Linked DNA regions of Drosophila melanogaster. The protein of the gene in region 2 interacts with the protein of the main gene of each other region in a pairwise test. Each region holds a gene or a part of one and is shown on either strand. Other genes may lie near its edges.

What was found.
Region 1: the proteins of t-Grip84 (region 2) and CG15422 interact in a two-hybrid assay, tested with the Drosophila melanogaster proteins (one large-scale study listed by BioGRID).
Region 3: the proteins of t-Grip84 (region 2) and CG12768 interact in a two-hybrid assay, tested with the Drosophila melanogaster proteins (one large-scale study listed by BioGRID).

The regions. Positions count from the first base shown.
Region 1 is NT_033779.5:4,003,338-4,006,173, forward strand, and holds CG15422 (uncharacterized protein), read left to right. Parts: upstream 1-1,646; 5' UTR 1,647-1,718; coding exon 1,719-2,033; 3' UTR 2,034-2,333; downstream 2,334-2,836. Other genes in the region: CG34176 (uncharacterized protein), read left to right, coding at 794-1,045; CG15423 (uncharacterized protein), read left to right, coding at 2,776-2,836.
Region 2 is NT_037436.4:7,588,095-7,592,909, forward strand, and holds t-Grip84 (testis-specific gamma-tubulin ring protein 84), read right to left. Parts: upstream 2,905-4,815; 5' UTR 2,825-2,904; coding exon 638-2,824; 3' UTR 514-637; downstream 1-513.
Region 3 is NT_037436.4:22,908,500-22,913,493, forward strand, and holds the start of CG12768 (uncharacterized protein), read left to right. Parts: upstream 1-1,991; 5' UTR 1,992-2,073; intron 2,074-2,333; exon of another isoform or gene 2,334-2,652; intron 2,653-3,090; exon of another isoform or gene 3,091-3,256; intron 3,257-3,334; 5' UTR 3,335-3,426; coding exon 3,427-3,734; intron 3,735-4,764; coding exon 4,765-4,994.

The DNA.
Region 1 (2,836 bases), on a different chromosome or scaffold from region 2:
ATTCCGAATTTTATTTGATCAAGTGATTGAGATTCAGAGAGTCCCGAGAGACTTTTCTTGATTGACCGTCAGAAATTACCATGTTTTTCTATCCATACATTTAATATTTACCCACGTCGCCCCTCGAGGCAAAATCGTGTCTGCAAACTTTGCATAATAGACGTGCAAATGTTTGCCAAATATTTGCCGGCTAAGGAAAATGTGTAAAGAATTATTGGGAATTTTTCGGGGCTGAAAATTGGATAAATATTTGTGGCTTGACAACATTTTCTCAAGCTAAAGTTTGTTTTCACTAGAGTTAAGGAATTTAATCGCATTTAACCAAATACAAATATTTGCACGTTGGTTCATTTCCTTTCTTCGTGACAACGAAATACTTTATTTCTTTTTAAAACTTTAAACAAGTATTTACATGACTATATGTAAGTTAAGGAGAAATCCCCGGAAAAAACCAAACATGACTCATTAAAGAAACGAGGAAAATCTATTGATATGCAGGCTCAAATTTGAATTGAAAAGCTTATTCGAAAAAAGCTTTACCATTTGCCAATTTTCAGTTTATTTATCGATAACTTTGCTCTAGAAGCAATACTTTCGTCAATAGAAATAATTAAGAGTACCTACCTACCTATTCGCTATCAGCAAATGCTGATATTGAGCTTTTTTATGACGGCAAATATTTTGGCGTTTGTTTGGTTAGTCAGTCCCATGAGTTGGGCATTCGCTTAATTCAGTTACCAGCGATAAGTCGACACATTTGGACGGACTTTCTACAGAAGATTAGTGCACCACTATGCCACCACCACCCCACGATCATTGCGGCGGACCGCCTCATCGTCGTGGACCCGTGATTAAGGTACAGATTGCACCACCATGGCCACGCCGCCATCACCGCCCACCACCCCAAGTTGTGGTGGTGCAGCAGCAGGCTCCGCCACCGCCACCAGTCATGGTGGTGCAACAGGCGCCTCCGCCACCGTACTACCAAAATCCACCACCACCACCACCGCCCGGCAGCAGCCACTACCACAATCCACAGTATTGAGAAGGAACTTTGATCTGTAAAATCCTTCACAATGAATTTATACCACGTAGCCTTACTTAACAACTATATGTCCTCAATAAAGTATAACCTTATAAACTAAGTTTTAGTTTATAGTTTTTAGTTTTTTTGCATATTTGTCATGAGTAATGGTTGAGTTTCAATCGAGTTGATTCCATCACACACACTCCCTCTTTTTATTATCAAAATCTCTAATCCGTGTTTTTTTTTTTTAAGTCTTTATCGGAACACCTGGTTAATTTAGACGGCAATCACTTGTTGTTTTGTTAATGTCTAGCAAAACTTTAATTCATTTTCACCAATGCTCTGTCAATGCTTCTATGCTCCTATATCAGAAATAATAACGCGTTACCCATAGATAAGCCGGAATCAGTTAATATAGTAAACAAAATGCGAGTAAAATAGCGAAACCCGATCACCTGTAAATGCACAACTGTCCGGTCGCTGTTATCAGACCTTGTCGAATGACTAAGCCATCTTATCTTTGCCTCTAACCACTGGAATAATTCCCACAAACCCTGATTGATGGAGCTTCGCAGTTCCAGTTTGTTTCGAGCTAGACGTGTTGTGCCACGGACTTTCCAGTATTCAACGCGTTGCTGGGTGGTGAAGTTGGTTCGGTTGGCTGGTTGATTATTTGGCTAGTTAATCAACTATGCGGTACTATGAAGATCCATGTGGCTATCCTCCTCGCCATCACCATGGTCGTCCAAATATCGAAATTGATGTGGTTCCCGGTTGGGGTGGCGGCTACTATCCGCCGCCGCCTCCGCCTCGGCCCGCCGAGGTAGTCTACATGACCCCGGCGGCTACCTATGTGCCCGGCACACAGGTGATAATGCCGCAACCCTACGGCGGCGTCACGGTGGCCACCACCAATGGATACTATCCGCAGCAGCAGCAGCAGGCGTACGAGTATCAGTACCAGTATCAGCAGCCCTACAACAATCCACCGTATCCGCAGTGGTGAACGAGGTCGGAATGGAAACGAAGCCATCACCACTAACAAAAAAAAAATATACTATCGATGGAGTGAAGGAAGGGATAGATAACAAGAAATCAAAACAAATATCACTTTGTCCTAATCTTAAGTTGAAATGACAACGCAAATGGTGCAATGGTCTTGACATTACGCACCACAAAGTTAACAAGTTAATAACCAGAGGAAGGTACAAAAAAACAAAACTGGAATTTAACTTTAACCGTTTCAAAGAAAATATAATTGTGCTATATAACCTTAAAACGAAATAAATAAAATATCTTGCTCTTCAAAAAACCTACCCGTCTTTAATTCTAAAAATATTCTAAATACTGCATTATCGATTTTATTTATGTTTATGTAATTTAGTGTGAGTCATCAATCAGAAGCATGGAATTAAGTCCTTCCTCTTAAATATAAAATTGTGATTCATGGAAACCTTGAACTCTCCTCATGAAATTCAATTCGGAATTTCGTATTTATCAAATGGCACTTATCAATTTTATTTTTTTTTTATCGAAAAAAACACATTTATTCCACCTGACAAGATAACCAACTAAGCTACTGTGCAAAACGCACATAACAAAATTAGGAAAAAAAATTCCCCCTCATTAGCGATAAAAATTGACTTAAATAGTTAAGCAGGCGAAGAAGCAAGTTCAGTTCGAGAAAGCAGTCAAAGGCATTCACTTCACCCACTAAGGATACAATACTTGGATAGTTTCTGAAGAAAATGCCGTACTACGAGGAGGAACGTCGTCATCACCATCATCACCATCACGGTGGAAGGCCAA
Region 2 (4,815 bases):
CTTAAAGCGATAAGTATTAAGTGATTTCTGGACAGCCGCTCGCGAGTTTTCCTTTTTTTTCCCCCATTTATTTATTAATACAATTTTCGTGCGCTTGCGTGCGTCTGCAACTGAGGCAAGTGCATTTACATAACAATTGGCCTTTGAATTCAAATTGGCAGCGGGCTTTGGCCCCTCCAACGAATCGGGCTATACCCAGACTGAGGCTGAGGCTGCGGGACTGCATTAAAATCTCTTTACCGCCATTTAAAATAATTTACGATCTTATGCAAATCGCCGCTTTCGTTGCACTAGCCCCCAAACTTGCCACCGTGACTCGACATAATGCTCGTTGGCCAGAAATTAAACGCACACATCGATTATTCACGCCCATTGTGCGCCACTTAACAATAACTTAAAAGTGGAAGAGCGCCACAGGTGTCATACGCATAAGACAAGCTCACACTTGTGGATAATGGATTGATAGCTTTTTGAATCTCAAAGGATTAATAAAGTAAATGAAAGAGTTAACTTCATTTTGCAAGAACGCTCTTATAATATAGTTAAGTAAACACAGCACTAAATGTTCCATGGGTCATGGAGAGTAAAAAGCACGGGTGATTTGGCGAAGCTGTTGGACACGTTTTGATGCCGTTGATTAAATATTGGAAGCTATTTGATCCTTATCCAAATCGGAGAACTCAATTAACTCCCCAAGTCGTTTGAGCAATTGTTTACAGGAGTCCCGTTCCGCAATGTCTTTCGTCTTAGCCAACTGGCTAACCAACTCCAAAATGCTGGTCAAAAAGCTTTTAAATTCCTCTTCGTACTCGACCACTTCCTGCTCGAGTTCTTTGGTACTTTTCTCTCCTATCGAGGATTCCACAAAGTCACAAAAGTTGAGACACACATGACCGAGTGTGTATAGAGATTTCACAAACGTGTTGGCAGTGGGTAGTAACCCCAGACGCAGGCATTCTTCTACGGTGCTCTCCAATTTGTTTAGTACCTCGTCGATACATTTTGCCTTGTCCACCGTTAAGGTCAAAGATTGCCATCGGGGTTCGGTGATGTCCTGGATGATGTGGTTTTCCAGACTTAGCATACACATTAGCATGCGGTGGCGAAGTTTTCCAGATCGATTGGTTAGCTGGAGACCCGTACCCTCACAAGGACTTTGCCAAAGGACTGTCAAATGATGTTTCACATAGTGCAAAAAAAACAGGACACGCTGTAACATCTGCAATTGCTCTAGGAGCTCCGGGTAGATAATAAAGCTTAGTGGCCATTTTGTTTCATAGCCAAGAGCTAATGCCTCGTAGCCGTAGAGATTCAGGACCTCCGGAGGATCCTGCTCGCTGCAGCTCTCCTTCTCCTCCTCTTCTTCATCTTCTACAGCTCTCTGTGCTTTATGTTGCCTACCCAATAGTGTGGCTACATCGCAAACCTTAAGCTGACAGCGAACATTATCCTTAATGAAATCATTGGACTTATGCAGGGTCTCTGCTAGAAGAGTCTGTAGCTTCTCGGGAATTAACCTTTCCACATTGTACTTTAGGTACTCATGGCATTTGTGCAGAAAAGTTTCGGAGAAGCCTTCCTCCTGCAGCAGGAAATAGGACTTCAAATTGCGAATGTGTAAAGGCAAATTGTGCTCCTCCACCAAAACCTTGAGAAACTTATGTGCTGGCAGCTCATAGCTTGTTTTAATGATCTCCTCATGTCCCAAATCGCCTTGACTATAAGCTAGTGGCCGCTGTAGCAGCTTCAATGAAACATTGCACTGCCTCAAAATGTTTAGGTACTTTCCGGCCAGAAAAATATCATCCGCCTGGGAAAGCAAGAAACCGGGCAAACGGTCTGGCAAAAGGCGGTACCGTTCCGCCCAGTAGGCGTGGCAACATTTCTCCGGCGCCAAAAGAGTACTGCTCATTGTACTCGAGGGCTCCGTGTCCTCCACAAAAAACTCATGCTGCGTATCGAATAGAACACCCTTTTGCATCCAAAGCTGAACAATTTTCATGTAAGCTCGACTAGTCGAAGTCAAAATTTTGTTCACTCGTTCCTTTAGATCTATATCAGTGTCCTTCAGATCCCGGTAGAACTGGTCCAGCAATGTTAGGACCTGGGCGCTGGTCAAATTGCCACGGGCACTGCTGGCCATGTTGGAAAAAGTCTTCAAAATAGGCAACCAAGGACGCACCTGTCGCACCAGATCCTTGAGATCCAACTTCTTGTCCTGCAAATCCGTTTCCAACTTGGACTGTAGATCATAATAGTCCTGCAGTTGATCACTTAAGGCAGTGGCTAAGGTCAGTCGTGTTCTTCCGCAGTTAGGCGACATATTGGTCTCCTCTATATAGCTCTGTACACTAATATAATAACCTATCAGGGGTAATGTTTCATTGGCCAAAGCCCTAAAAGCCCCAGTGAAGGTCTTTTTCAATCGAAAGCGAATCTTGGCTATATCCACTGCAGACATTTCGGAAATCTGATCGATCTGAATATCAGGCTTTACATATGCAGATGGAACACCCGAGAAGGCATAGATTAGATCCCTCATCAGCAACTGTTCCTGACAAGGCAAACTCATCTTGGCCAAATTTTCGTTGGCGAGAAAGTAACCCCCAACGCTCTCGAAGATCCAGGACTCCTGCCGTGGCAGACTTGAGGACGAGCTCGTATTGCAATTATGACCGCTGTTTTCGCTTCCTGATGGACGCATTTTTTCGTCTACGGATTCCTCACGGTCGTGAATTTTCCTCATCTGCCGCTCCAGCTCGTCCTTACTGAGGTGAAAGCGCACTTTGTTCGCGAAGTCACTTTCCGATTTGTCGGAGTTCATGGTGAATAAGAAAATATATCAAGAACAGAGATCGATTTCGAAGCTTAAAATTATTTAAGTGTTCTCTGAATGATTATAATAACTAAGGTATGTTGGATAGATTGAAATTAAATAATTAAATATATGTAAAGTTAGTAGAGTTTTTGGTTGTTATAACAATAGGTGCTAGTGCTGAGTACACCTAACTTCTGCTAGTTCTGATTTCCATTTCTGCTTATTATCAAACTTAACTCTAGCCATTTGTGAAAGGTGGTTACTTTCGGTGATATCCGCTGAATCGTCGAGGTAAATCAACTTGGTTTTGAATCTGGATCCCCATCGATCATCGTGCCCAGCGGCGACATCTTCGCCTCTGGTTTCGTCGAAGTTTGGAGCCACAGGTGCATTTCAAGCCCATACTTCAACGATTCAAGTTGAGCTGGGCGATCCGACGCCCAGTTGTCAATCAAGCGGAGCAGCAGAACCAACTGACGAACGTGCTGAGAATTTTCCATCAATTTCTACGCGATGGGAACTTCGAACTTTCTATGTGCTTGTATCCAAAATATCCGCACACAGTGAGAAATTTTTTTTTTGGTACATATTATTAGGGTGCTTAAACAAATTTGTGAAATCTTAAAACTATGAATTGGATTTAATGAAAATGATTTGCAGTGAGTGAATTATGTATGTGAATATGTGTATTGTTTATTATATTGATAAAAATCAATTTTTCCTCTGCATGTGAAACACTTGAAAGTATCGCACAGGCAACGAGATAACCATGAGAACACTTTATATATGGGCCTTTGTCGCGTGAGTGCCACTTGTCGTGTTTTTGTTGCTACCGCTGTAGCTGCAGTTGCTGTTGCACATGTTGTTGTTATAGTTGTTGTTATTGTCTGTGCCCCCTTTTTGTTGCTGCGCTCGTTTTCTCGCTGTTCTCATTCTAAACAATGCAAATGCAGCGTCAGCGGCTCTGCCAGCAACATTAGCATAAATAAATAAATAACCGTACTGGCAACGAGCGGGTAAATAACAAAATAGCAACACGGCCAGCAGACCGACCACAGCCAGTAACATTAATCTACGCTCCAAAAGCTTTCCGATAGACGTTCCATGGGCTTTTATCCTCCTCGCATTTTACGAGTATAGCAGACACCCAAAACACTTGTTTGCCTTCGTCGCCTAGCGGCGCTTGCACTTCGAAGACTGGGCGCGGTACAAGGGATCGCCTAGAAACGCCCACACACGAACTAGTGCAAGTACAGTGGTAATATGATATGGAGAAATGCCCGATTAAAAGTGTATAAAATATTTTTTTTAATTTTAAAACAAATTTTGCACTACCATGGGCGTTAATCTTTCTTTGTTTTAATATTTCTAAATTAAATAATAAATATTAAACATTAACATTAACATATTAAATATTAACATGAAACGTCGTATACTGCCACTTGACAAGGAAGATAATTTCAAAAATATTTGATTATTCCAAATTGTACATTCCATTTAATAATCTAATTTGGATATATATGTATATTGTATATTTTGAACTGAGTCACATACCAAATTTGACCACCCATTTTAGTTGTTTTGCGACCAATGTGCCTAGGCCGCCGATTACAAAAGCAACACCTTCGCCTTCACCGTAAAATGGGCCTCCCCTGCGTGTTTCACATGTGTCGCATGTGACTACCGTGGATTTTGCAGCCGCTTCTGCCGGCAATCAAATTGAGTGCAAAGCTCGGTTAAAAGCCGAGTATTCAAGTATTCGAGTGTTCGGACAGCAGAAGAGGTGTGATGTTTGATGGGTGTGTGTGTATGTGTGCAGCGAATGCAAAAACAGTTTCGATTTTTTTTTCAATTTTTCCACCTTCTGTTTTTGTCTCGATTCGGTGGGGCCCCAACTTATTGCATTATTTATGTACGAGTAGTACGATTTTTCTGGGTTCCCCAGTAAGCCACACGCACACGGTCCGCACCAGAAAATTGTATAAACAAAACGCGGA
Region 3 (4,994 bases), about 15 Mb from region 2:
TTTTGTACGTTAGGGTTTTAGAGTGGGCGTGGCAAAAATCGATACTCGAAAATATACTTTATATGGTTGGAAACGCTTCATTCTGCCTATTACATACTTTTCAACGAATCTAGTATACCCTTTTACTCTACGAGTAACGAGTATAATTATCTTAATATATCTTAATATCTCCTTTATAAAGGTGTTAATTTTGTGCACAAAAAGTGGGTAAATTTCCCATAGTGCAATGGAAACACCATTAAAGCGTCGTGTAAAAAAGTTGGTCAATTTTTTCTAATGGTTTGTACTGTTCCGGGATGGCACAACAACTTGGAATCACATTTATAAGTTTTTTTTGTGAATTGAAAAACTAAACTTAAATCGCAAATACATATATCAATAGAACAATATGAATGTTCTTACTACGTAAAATAATAGGCAATTTTCCCTGGCCCCTAACGGAACCGAAGTCGCCCTACTCAGCTGATTTTATCCCAATCTGACACGCCCGTGACATGCTGTTGCCTATCCGAAAATATTTGTGTACCACGGATTACATTGCAGTAATGGATTTAATTTAAGCTGTGGACCGCGTTCGACTCAACTGCAGATTCATCAGCGCCGAGAACGCATACTGATAAGTCGAATCAGAATCAGACAAAGCGGTATGCTGCGTTCTGCTGAAAAAGGAAAGGGAGAGCGAAAACACGGATGGCTGTGTTGGTGCGATTGATAAATACGAGTTCATTCTTAAAGCTTATTTTTTAGATGACCAAGCGGGAGACAACAACGAGTAAACAAGAGCAACAGCAACAGCGGGCAATAAAGTTGATTGCAGCAGTGGCAAATTGAATATTTGCCAGCGCGCGTGTGTGTGTGCGCAGCCTTTTTGTTTGTGCTTGTTCGCATTGTTAAATATCCGCACCAGCAGTGCAGCCAAATGGGATGATAGATGCCGAATGCCGAATGGCGCGCGAGCAGAGCGAGTGGCTACCATTGTTAATCCGCAGTTCGTCCTCTGTGCCCCTTGCCTCCTCCCTCGCTCATTCCTGTGCCACAGCTCAGCTTGCTACCAAAACTCGACCTCGACTTCATCCCTTGCTCTCTCGGAACTCTCATGCTCAAGCTGTTGCTTCAGCTACAGCTCAGCGTACAATTGTTGCTTTGCGGAGACTGCGCTCATTGCCGGGTGCTGCCAATCCTGGGTGCAATCCGTTCATTATTTATCCGGCTGGTGGTAAGCAAATAGCGCTCACAAGCCACTTAGTGCTATCACTCTTGGATTAATCACTGGGCACGGCTCGGCGATAACGTGTCACTGCCACAAACGGAACCGCAACGGCGATAAATATTTTTCACAGCGAAAATAACACTGCCTAACAAAGTTTGAAACACTGTGACTAGAACATTTCCAAACTTCAGCTATTTCTTCAGCTATCAGTTATATATTTTAGAATAGATAAACAGAATATATATAATGCCATTTATGTAATGATTTCGATGAATAGATAGATGGCTAATATTTTACCGGTACTCCACCAAGGTGTTTTAAAGAAGACGGCTTTAAAGGTTTCCTATAATATACATTTTTTTATTAAATTTCATTTTATTTATTTTAAAATGCGTCCCGTTTGAGTGGAGGATATGTCTAATATAGTCCTAAATAGATACCAAGTAAATATCTTTTCGTATCACTCCACACACACACAAAAAGTTGAGTTTATAATTACATTATTCACGCAGCCCTCTAGGCTCCCTCACTATGCCAATTTCTTTTGTTGTGTAGTGTAATAGCATAGGATTGGCAGCCTCCGATTGTTTACACCAGCGTAGGCGGCACTGCAACAACAACAATAGCATCCTCTGCTCTCATTCTCTCTCCCGTGCTTTGCGCTCTGGAGCGGAGCAGAAAAGAAAAGCGCCATTCGCTCACTTTCTCTCCGGCTCTCTTTGTGCTGCTGCGCCAATTTGCAAGAAAACTAAGTTGGTTTGCTGTGCAGTTGTGACAATCGTCGAGGAGAGCAGCGGCGCACTCTCTAAAAGGAAGCTGCCAAGCCAACGAACGGCCAAGCGAGAGGTGACAAGTGAAAAGTGGCAAGTGGATGTACCAAATAGTGACAGGTTCACTAGTAGTAATCGCAAGTTAGCTGCCCGTTTGGCTGCAGATTTTCGTCAAAGTTCGCTATTCGTGTTGTTTTTTGATGTTTTCGTCTCTCTCGGCTGTCCGCATAGGCAATGTGTGTATACATATACGCGATTTCACACTGACAACAGGGCCGGGCGCGTGTATGAGTGTGGTTATTTTGCCGTGTTGCCGAACATCTGTATCTGTATCTGAATCTGTGGCAGCCAATAGTTGTGGCAAGGCCCTCGAGCAACTCGCAACACAACACATAACAACAGCATCCCCAATAAGTGGCAGCAACTACGCCGCATGGCAAAGCACCAACGGCCGCATTTGTTGTTAATTGAAATAAATTGAAATAAATTCCCCGACTTTGCTGCTCATATTGTTAATAAAGAGAAGCCGGAGCGACGCAACAGCGAATCAGCAGCAGTAAACAAAACTGTGAGCAAAAGGTTTTAGTTCCATTCCAGGCGTCAGACGACTTTGAGTACAAGCGACAAACAACCAGAACATCTAAGGAATTCCGAGCGAACAATGTGAATAATGTTGGTATCACAAGCAATTGGTGGCAATAACCAAAAAGAGCACATGCGTTTATTTATAGACCCCAGTGTGTTCCCATTAGTGAGTGTGTGGCGTGCTGTGCACTGCAAATGAGTTCAAGCTGCAGCCAAAGAGAAGGAGGCGTCCTACCAATACCAATCCTTGTGTAGTCTTGTTCCCTCCACAATCAGATCGGTCGCAGACCAACAGTAGCAGCTGAAATTCCTCGATCGGCACACGAAATCGTATGTAAATACTTTCCTGCCGAGTCAGCCTCTCAGAATGCCAATGTTTACAGTATTCGATTATTGTTTAACTAACAGCCTCTTATGGGAAAGTGGAATACATACATTAATTGATGGGGGAGGTGGGGGTTGGGGTTTGTAGGGTCTGCTATAAGCAGATTTCCCGTATTTGATTTGTCCCCTCTGTTGTCTCAGTTTCAGTGGGACCCATACTCCCGAAAATCAATTGTATTTAACTGTGCGTATGCGATTTCGAAAACAAAAACACCCCTCCTGCTGGGGTCATTGCACCCAAGGTGCGTGGGTGCGTGTGTCAACACTTTTGAACCCCTAAGCACCCACCCGAGAAATACGCCGAAAAGTATGCAACGAACATGGCGACCATCAGCACAAGCAACTTTAACGATTTTCTCACCTCATTTCTATACTTACTTTGCAGCGCAGCATCCGGCGACACAGGACATGCGCAGTGGCCTTTTTGGTAGTTGCATTTCGGCCAACAGCGACTGAAAGAGCAGAGAGCGGAGGAGCATGGCCTTTTCCCGCCACAACATCGAGAAGCGCCGACTCATCGAGCTCGTGCGACTCAACCCAATCCTCTGGGACTGCCGCCTGCCACACTACAAGCGTTCGGACAAGCGAAAAGCCATCAAATGGAACGAGTTGGGGCGGCTCTTCAACGTTAATGGCGAGCGGGTGCAGCGCACGTTTACTTCGCTCCGCGAGATCTTCCGCCGCGAGCTGAACCACGAAAAGATGCTGGGCACCACGCGCTTCAAGTCCAAGTGGGAATACTACGATGCCATGGCCTTCCTCAAGGAGGTCATTCGGGAACGCAAGTAAGACGACGTTTGACCTGCCCTAAAATACTACCTTATGATATATGTAGATCCCGTTTAAGGGATTTTGGACATTCCAGTTATTTGTTCTAGTGTCTTTGGAAAAAGGGTTTACTAAATTCGTTGAAAAGTGTGTAACAGGTAAAAGGAAGCGTTTTCGACCATATAAGGTACATATATATATTTCTGAACAGGATCAATAGCCAAGCCTCGAGCTCAGGAACTATAAAATACCACACTTTTGAAAAATGTTTTCATTTTTCTTGGTTTCATTTTTTTTATCTTACCGATATACCAAAAACACTTTGGCTACGCCTCTTCTGAAAAATTCAAACCGCTCACAACAATTTTAATTCCCCAATATCTATCGACAAGCAAGGAAAATTATAGAATTTCGCGTTCGCACTAGCTGAGTAACGGGTATGTGATAGTCGGGTTTTCGACTACAGCAATTGTGTTCCGATTATAATCACTGAAAAAGTTGTTTGAGCAAATTCGGAGAGAGGTGACCGCGAAATAATCACCGTCACTTAAAAGCCTAAACATATTTACATATTCAACATTTAGATTTTGATTTTACGCGATTTTTAAGTTTTTATTGTTATAAGAAGAATGATTAGTGTAAGGGATTGGGAATATAAATGTCGAGATAGTTCTCAAAATAATACGCAAGTCACCTTCCTCGGTTACAATAAATTTACATTGATTTTACTGAAATCAAATCAAATAAAAACTAGTTAAAGAAAATAACTGTTGTCTACCGAATAAGAACAATGACGCAGATAAGAATATAAATGTCTAGATAATTCACAAGGATTGTGTGCAAGTCAAATCTAAATTTAAGCATTTAGGAAGGGTATACATAGAAATTCTATTAAAACTTTGAATTTGTTTCATGTGGTCGGTCCAGAACTGACCAACAGGCAAGAATGAAATGCATGCCTGCGGATCTGCATCATAGCACCTATCTGCTAACCTTGAGGCAAGCACCCGCTTTCCAAAAAAGCTAATTACAACTTTTGCTTTTTAGATCTCGCGAGCGCATCAAGCACGGCTCTTTGGATTCAGCACCAGTAGCCACAGGCAGCAGCAACAATAACAACAACTGCGTAAGCCGCAATAGCAGCAACAACAACAGCAGCAGTGCGGCCCTAGACGAATATCAGTACTTTGCTCCTAGCGACCCCAACAACCCGAACAATCAGCCCCAGCTGCAGCCCGAACCAAAGAGTAGTCTGCCAGTGACTATTCCCAGTCTAA